2 linked regions of the Danio rerio genome follow. The protein of the gene in region 1 interacts with the protein of each later gene in a biochemical or structural test. Links are inferred from orthologs where the notes say so. Each region holds a gene or a part of one and is shown on either strand. Other genes may lie near its edges.

Region 1 (4,325 bases):
AATTTTGGTGAGCCTGTGAAAATTGTAGCCTCAGTTTCCTGTTCTTAGCTGACAGGAGTGGCACCTGGTGTGGTCTTCTGCTACTGTAGCCCATCTGTCTCACGGTTGGACGTGTTCTGCATTTAGAGAGGCTCTTCTACCTACCTCAATTGTATATTTCAGTTACTGTTGCCGTCCCATCAGCTGGAACCAGTCTGGCCATTCTCCTCTGACCTCTGGCATCACAAGACATTTGTGCCCACAGAACTGCTGCTCACTGGATATTTAATCATTTTTGGATCATTCTCTGTAAAAACTAGAGATAGTTGTGCGTGAATATTGTAGTAGATCAGCAGTTTCTGTAATACTCAGGCCAGCCTGGCACCAATAACCATGCCACGTTTAAAGTCACTTAAATCACCTTTCTTCCACATTCTGATGCAGGATTTGAACTGCAGCTCGTCTTGACCATGTCTACATGCCTAAATGCATGGAGTTGCTGCCATGTGATTGGCTGATTAGAAATTTGCGTTAACAAGTACTTGAATAGGTGTACCTAATAAAGTGACCGATGACAAGTGTATAGCACAGATTGCATATTACTGAATGTTTGTGTTTAGCACTTGCATGCAAAAAATAAAGTCAAGTCAAGCACTAGTCAAAGACAGAATTTTAAAAAGGCTTGTTACGGTCAAAGTCATGAAACTTCAGTCAATGATGGATTAATTCTACCTTATACAGTCGGGCTCAACTACATTTTTTATTTTATGTAGTTTACCTGCCTCATGTTTTCAACAGCTGGTTTCACACCCATTAAAAACAAATTTTAACAATTTTTAGTTGTTGTGTGTAAAAAATTCCAACTGTTTAGTGTTGAGCTGCTTGTGTTTGCTGTTTTGCAACACAAGTGGCCTATATAACAGCGTACAGTGGATTTAGTGAGTGAAAGAACTGCTTAATTGTGCATAAAGAGTGCATGAAATTTGCAATCTGTGGCTAAGAGAATCTGGATTTGTTTAAAGTTTTGCTGGAAGGATTTAGAAAACTTGTCTAGGTCATTTAAAATTTGATTCACACAACGGGCTTTTTGTGTAAAAACTGTAAGCTGGTTGTGCACTTTCACTCCGAGCCGCACGAGGTCGGTATTCTTATTTACATGAGCTCAAAATTTCCGCTTTCTCATTTTGACAACTGTCATGGCTGCCGTATTACCGTAATACACAAAACACACAAGAAATCAGAATGCCGTTAAAATTCACCTTTACTGATAAAGTACTATAAACGTATCTGCTACACCATAAATTGTAAACTATTGTAAGAAATACCTTACACGAATGTGCACAGTTGCGTTTTGGTGGTCAAATATATTCAGGGTTGTTGAACAAAATATAAGGCGCTCTATTTGAGTGTTTACGGTGAAACACTTGCGGCTGTGATGAGTGCAGTGCGAGTGTGTGCAGCGCCCCTGGCCTCGAATGAACACACTGGATCATCAGCAGCAGCTTTTCATTGAGGGGAATCATAGAAACAAGGGGGCTGTCAGAGACTTCAGGAGCGGGGGCCAAAGAAAATCCAGGCGGGCAAGTGTGCGTAGGAAAGAAGGCAATTCCTGTTGAGGCAGAGATGACGGAGGTTAGCGAGATATTGATGTCGGTTCTGTCCGCGATTCGGGTTCCGAGGCCCGGGGATCGTGTTCACAAAGACGAGTGCGCTTTCTCCTTCTCCAGCCCGGTGAGTCCAGCAACCGCACACTCATCTTCACTCCGGGCATTTTTGTTTGCATAAGGCTGCTGAATTAGTTTTGTTTTCGTAAAGCCGAATGTTGGCTAACTCTCGCTCATTCAGTTGATAAGTTTGCACTATTTTCCCTTCATTATGTCAGGCGAGTCATCACCGCACTGTTGACTCTGCACTCTTTGGGTCACACCCCGAATAAACCATTCATTTACCTTCCTGCAACTTTTAAATAACCACTTCAGCTATCTGAGAGCTAATTATAAGGCTAAACCCCAGCTATATGCTGGTTTGTCTTCTTGAGAAGTCTGTATCATGCGCGTGAATGTTGTTTTGTTGTGCGCGCGCGCGAGACAGGCTCGCTGAGCGCGTGTTGCTGACCCACGGTGTTTTGCTAAAACAACTCTTTTCAATTGTTTTAGGAGAGTGAGGGGGGCTTGTATGTCTGCATGAACAGCTTTCTCGGATTTGGGAGTAAATACGTGGACCGACACCATGCCAAAACTGGTCAGAGAGCTTACCTGCACATCACCCGGACCCGGAAAACACAGGTAAGCTTAAAAAGGAAAGACAATGCGAATCCTCATTCGTGCAAACATTGTTTAAGTAAATGTTCGTAACTATTTAAAGCTACCATAAAGTCAACAAACGGAGTTGTATAATATTGGTGTCAGACAGGTTTCCTGAACACTCCTCCAGATTTCATTGGCTAGCCAAACAGATATTTCCGCCCCAAACACATGCCATTGGTTCAAATTATTTTAGATTGGCCAGGGCAAATAGAACATCAGTTCAAGTGTATGGCTGTTTCTCAATTCCAAGAACACAGACAACGGACTGGCGTTCTTGTGGAGACCGGTCTTGCCCAAGTGGTGCTCGCTGCAGAGCCATTTGGGCGAGCTGAGCTCCAGCGAGGGGGAGCTTGAGCTTGAGCTCCACCTTTTTTGCACTTCTTCTACGAGTGATGTCACTGGGGGTGGGGTTAGGGGTGGGGTTGGTGTACGCATTAAAACAGCTTTCAGGAGGCAGAGCGAGAGCTCATGCTCCCCCTCGCTGGAGCTCAGCTCAGCTCTGCTCAAATGGCTCTGCAGGGAGCACCCTCTCGTCTTGCCAGGTCACCTCAGAAGAACGAACTCTGGAGACCGAGAAAACACAGAATGTGTCCTATGAGAAATGAGATGCTGCGTTCTTCCTGATGCTGGTCACTAAAGGATGCTGTTCTTTATTCAGCTGCAATGACTTCTGGGACTTCTCAAGCGAGTTTTCCACTAAAGTCTGCATCGATGCATCCTTGATTTCAAGAATACATCCGGGAACATTTACGTATGCTCTGTTCTTGCGGTCTTAAGTTTTAGAAGTGAACTTTGGCAGTTGATGATGACGTTACATGAGGACACAGGAACGCATATTGAGAAACAGTCTATCTGTCTGTGAACTGCAAGTAGTAGAGGCATATTTTGCAGTTATCCCATTGAACCATACGAGATGTTGTTGGCAAGATGGTGGAAATACTTTCCAGAGATTTTCAGCAGAAGTTTTCATGCGTTTTCTCCAAATTTATTCATAACCTAATCATTTGATATAATAATTCATTTAGCAACTCCACTCGCTGACTTCATCCGTTTTCTTATGACAGTTAACCTACTTGGTGTTGCTCCCTGATGTTACTAACAGTACAATGGTGAGCCCATCAAAAGCAATTATGAATGCTTTGCAACTCGCAGCTTTACCTGCACAGTGGAGTAGGTAATACATAATAAGTGTGATGGTTGGGTTTAGATATGGAGAAGTTGTAGACTTTAATAACTGTGACGGTTGTAGGGCTGCTCGATTATGGGAAAAATCATGATCATGATTATTTTGGTCATAATTGTAATCAACTGATAATCGTTTTGAATAATCGTGAAGTCAAAATTATTCGCCCTTCTGTGAATTTTTTTATATATAAATATTTCCCAAATGATGTTTAACAGAGGAATTTTTCACAATATTTCCTATAATATTTTTTCTTCTGGAGAAAGGGTTATTTGTTTTATTTTGGCTAGAATAAAAGCAGGTTTAAATATTTTAAACATATTTTAATAGCTCAATATTATTAGCCCCTTTAAGAAATATATATTTTTGATTGTTTGCAGAAGAAACTACTGTTATAAAATAACTTAAATAATAACACTAATTAAGCCTTTGAATAGCACTTTAAGCTGAATTCTAGTATCTCGGAGAATATCTAGTAAAATATAATGTGCTGTCATCATAGCAAAGATAAAATAAATGAGTGATTAAATCTGTCATGTTTAAACTGAGCTTGAAGCATCTTCACTGTAAGAAAAAAACTTCAGCTACAAAAGTCCTTCAGTCAAGAGCAGTGAGGGATTTTCTCCTTTTGTTGTTTGATTAATAATAGAAACAGGCCACAGCAGGAATATTGCGCTGTCACTTTAAGAATAGTGCAGCTCTGATATGGTTTCTCTTTCACATGTCTTTAGATTCTCAACTTGTTTGTTTACTACACAAATGAGGGTTAATATGAATAATCACTAAACACCGCGCTCTGACACAAATATGCATGTATTTAACCATTAAAGCGCTCACATTAAGATGGCGATAGATGT
Region 2 (3,633 bases), on another chromosome or scaffold:
GGTGCAAAGATCATGAGGAATGGTCACTTTACCTGTTCTCTCCTCATAACAAGTACGTAATTGTCCTGATATCATTTTACCACTATACTTAAGTGCATTTTTAGACATCATTTCTTTATCTTTATGTGTGACTCTTTATTTTTACTTCACTAGATTTGAAAGCAATACCACTCACTGATTCAAATAATTCATTCATTGTAAGGTTGCAGTTGATGACTCACTGATTCAAATGATCTATTCTGAGTGATTCTGCAGTTAATGACTCACTAATTCAAAATTATCCGTTCATTGCGAGTTTGCAGTTGATGACTCACTGATTCAAATGATCCATTCTGATCTAGTCTGCAGTTAACGACTTACTGATTGAAATGATTCATTTATTGCGAGTTTGCAGTTGACGACTTAATGATTATGATGATTCATTCTTAGTTAGTCTGCAGTTAACAACTCACTGATTCAAATGATTAATTCTTTGAGAATTTGCAGTTGATGGCTTACGGATTGCAATGATCCATTCTGAGTGAGTCTGAAGTTAACAACTCACTGATTCAAATGACTCATTCTTTAAAAGTTTGCAGTTGATGACTCAGTGATTCAAACGATCTATTCTGAGAGAGTCTGCAGTAAACAACTCTCTGATTCAAATGATCTATTCAATGTGAGTTTACAGTTGACTTCTCACTGATTCAAATGATCCATACTGATCGAGTCCTCAGTTAGCGACTCGCTGATTCAAATATTTAATTCTTTGAGAGTTTATAGATGACTCAATGAATGCAATGATCCATTCTGAGTGAGTCTGCAGTTAACAACTGACTGATTCAAATGATTTGTTCATTGCGAGTTTGCAGTTGACGACTCACTGATCACAGTGATCTATTCTGAGATAGTCTGCAGTAGACAACTCACTGATTCAAATGATCCATTCAGTGCAAGTTTGCAGTAGATGACTCAATGATTAAAATTATCCATTCTGAGTGAGTCTGCAGTTAACAACTCACTGGTTCAAATGATTTAATCAATGCGAGTTTGCAGTTAATGACTTAATGATTCAAAATATTCATTCTGAGGGAGTCTGCAGTTAACAACTCACTGATTCAAATGATTCATTCATTGCGAGTTTGCAGTTGATGACTCAACGATTAAAATGATATATTCTGAGAGAGTCTGCAGTTTATGACTCACATATTGAATTCTAAGTGAGTTTACAGTTATTGACTTACTGATTCGAATGAGCCATTCTGTGCATGTCTGCAGTTAATGACTCACTGATTCTAAATGAACCATAAAGAGCAAGTGTGCTGTTGACAACTTACAGTTCTTATTCAAATGATCTGGTCAGAGCGAGTCTGTAGTTAACGACTCACTGGTTCAGATTTTCCAGTAAGGAGTGCATTTCCCTAATCCTTCTTTCAAACTAAGTTTGCAATTTCCCAACTTAATTATCTAATTTCCGAAACAGGGCATACCAAAAATTTCAAAACAGTTTCCCAAACTTATGTGGTTCCCACAACTGTGCACCTGTTGACCTATACTGTAGTTTGAAGAGTAGTTTCCTTCTCATAGCCTATGATTCATGAGCTTAAAAAGATCTCAACATGATGAAATGTTCACATTTGTGATTGTTCTACAATTCTCTTTTAGGTTTCGGATGATGTGTCAAAAACTCATCTCTCACAAGATGTTTGATTATGTAGTTTTAGTATTCATCTTCCTAAACTGCATCACTATTGCTCTGGAGAGACCCCATATTCAACAATCTGTAAGTGGAATCTTTAATCTCATTTGCTATTTTGTTGCTTACTGAATATACAATGAAGTTTGTTCATTTGCTTTTTATTTTAGGAGCGATTATTTCTCCTCGTCTCAAACTATGTTTTCACTGTGATATTTGTTGCTGAAATGACAGTGAAGGTATGATTTAGAGTTTTATATTATTCTTTCTTTGTTAAGAGCATACATTTCATAAAACAGTTGCATAGACGTTATATGGCTTGTGTTAAAGGTTGTGGCCCTTGGTTTCTACTCCGGGAACCAGAGTTATCTAAAGAGCACATGGAATGTTTTGGATGGGGTGCTGGTCTTTGTGTCCCTCATTGACATTCTGGTCTCTCTGGCCTGGACTGGAAACCGAATCTTTGGCATCCTGAGGGTTCTTCGCCTGCTGCGAACTCTGCGGCCACTGAGGTGAGCCAGCGAAAGGTCAAAACATGCACGTCTGAGGCACAGGCGATCAATGAAATCCCCTACATGGTCATTGCTCCAGTTAAGGAATAAACTGAAGGTTAATTATGTGGTTGCATTATTTCCAGAACCTACACGCTACAAGCCCACTTACTGATTCAGCTTAAGCTTGGCAAAGTGAAGTCTGTTAGCCTTGAAATGATTTTAAAGCAGGCAGTGGTTTATTGATCTTAAAGGTCATTCAGACAATTGTGTCATTGTATAAATGTTAAATCTATGGAACGGAATCTAAACAGCTTGAAATGGCTTGTCTTTGTTTGTCTGTTTTCTCTCTATAGAGTAATTAGTCGTGCTCCTGGTCTGAAGCTGGTAGTAGAAACGTTGATAACGTCCCTGAGGCCCATTGGGAACATTGTGCTGATCTGCTGTGCTTTCTTTATTGTTTTCGGCATTCTTGGAGTTCAGGTGAATGCATCAGTCACTACATTTTATTGGGGCGAATTAGCTAAAAATATTTTTCAAATGGCAAGATATAAATGTAAAATATTTACAATATGAACAGGTCAAAGATGACACTATAGGTGTTCTCATCAAATTAAAATTGTCAATCGAAGCATTTTGACATCTTAAAACACCAGTGCTGTTCTAAAAATGCCAACACAGACTCATTCTGTGTTGTGGCTGCAGTATCGGGAGTGAAGTGTCTAAATAACACAGCTGAGAACCGGGTAATTAACTGTACTATGCACTCCCAGGGGTGTTACAGTCTGTATCAAAAAGTTGAGAACTTTTTTACTAAGGGGGGGTGGGGGTGATATTGTGGGAGTTTTCCGGAAGAAATAACAAAACAAGATAGTGGTGGGAGATGGGTCTGAAATCAAGGAGTGTTGGCTGGGATGGTGGGTGGGTCAATCTGTGCTTTTGAAAACACTATTGGTTGGCTTTGAGGAAGGAGGAGGGTGAGTCATTCGATCGGTCATTCAGTCAACAGCAGCCTCTGGTGGGTTTACACAAGAATAGCAGATGCGAAAGGCACTCAGGAGAGAAATTTGAGATCTTAAAAAGCATACACAGTGGTCTCTGGTGGATTTAAAACAAAAACTGCAAAAAAATGTAGTTCCTGGGACATATTTGTCGCTTTCTAGAAATATATATTTAGAGGTACATTTTTAGAATGAATCTGAGTTAAAGAAATGCTCAGCTGTGAGCACTTCATGAACTGATGGAGCATTTAAAAAATGCAGAGCATGGTTTTCAGAGTGGTTTTTAAAGCAATTGCATCTGTCAGCACAGATATTGGGATATTAAATTAGATTTTTGCAATGAGCATGCTATGAACATGTTTGCTTTGATCAATTGCAGCTCTTCAAAGGAAAGTTTTTCCACTGTGAAGGCGGCGATACCAGAAACATCACCAATAAGTCTGACTGTCTTCAGGCAAACCTCAAA

The links. The genes of interacting proteins can lie anywhere in the genome.
Region 2: the proteins of usp5 (region 1) and cacna1ha form a complex in vitro, tested with the Homo sapiens proteins (2 studies listed by BioGRID, with this or other methods). The link is inferred for Danio rerio from reciprocal best matches to the Homo sapiens genes USP5 and CACNA1H.

Annotation. Positions count from the first base shown.
Region 1 is NC_133191.1:12,331,949-12,336,273, reverse strand, and holds the start of usp5 (ubiquitin carboxyl-terminal hydrolase 5), read left to right. Parts: upstream 1-1,433; 5' UTR 1,434-1,602; coding exon 1,603-1,710; intron 1,711-2,135; coding exon 2,136-2,264; intron 2,265-4,325. UniProt on the Homo sapiens protein: Deubiquitinating enzyme that participates in a wide range of cellular processes by specifically cleaving isopeptide bonds between ubiquitin and substrate proteins or ubiquitin itself.
Region 2 is NC_133178.1:38,867,660-38,871,292, forward strand, and holds part of cacna1ha (voltage-dependent T-type calcium channel subunit alpha-1H), read left to right. Parts: coding exon 1-52; intron 53-1,644; coding exon 1,645-1,762; intron 1,763-1,845; coding exon 1,846-1,914; intron 1,915-2,005; coding exon 2,006-2,187; intron 2,188-2,522; coding exon 2,523-2,649; intron 2,650-3,546; coding exon 3,547-3,633.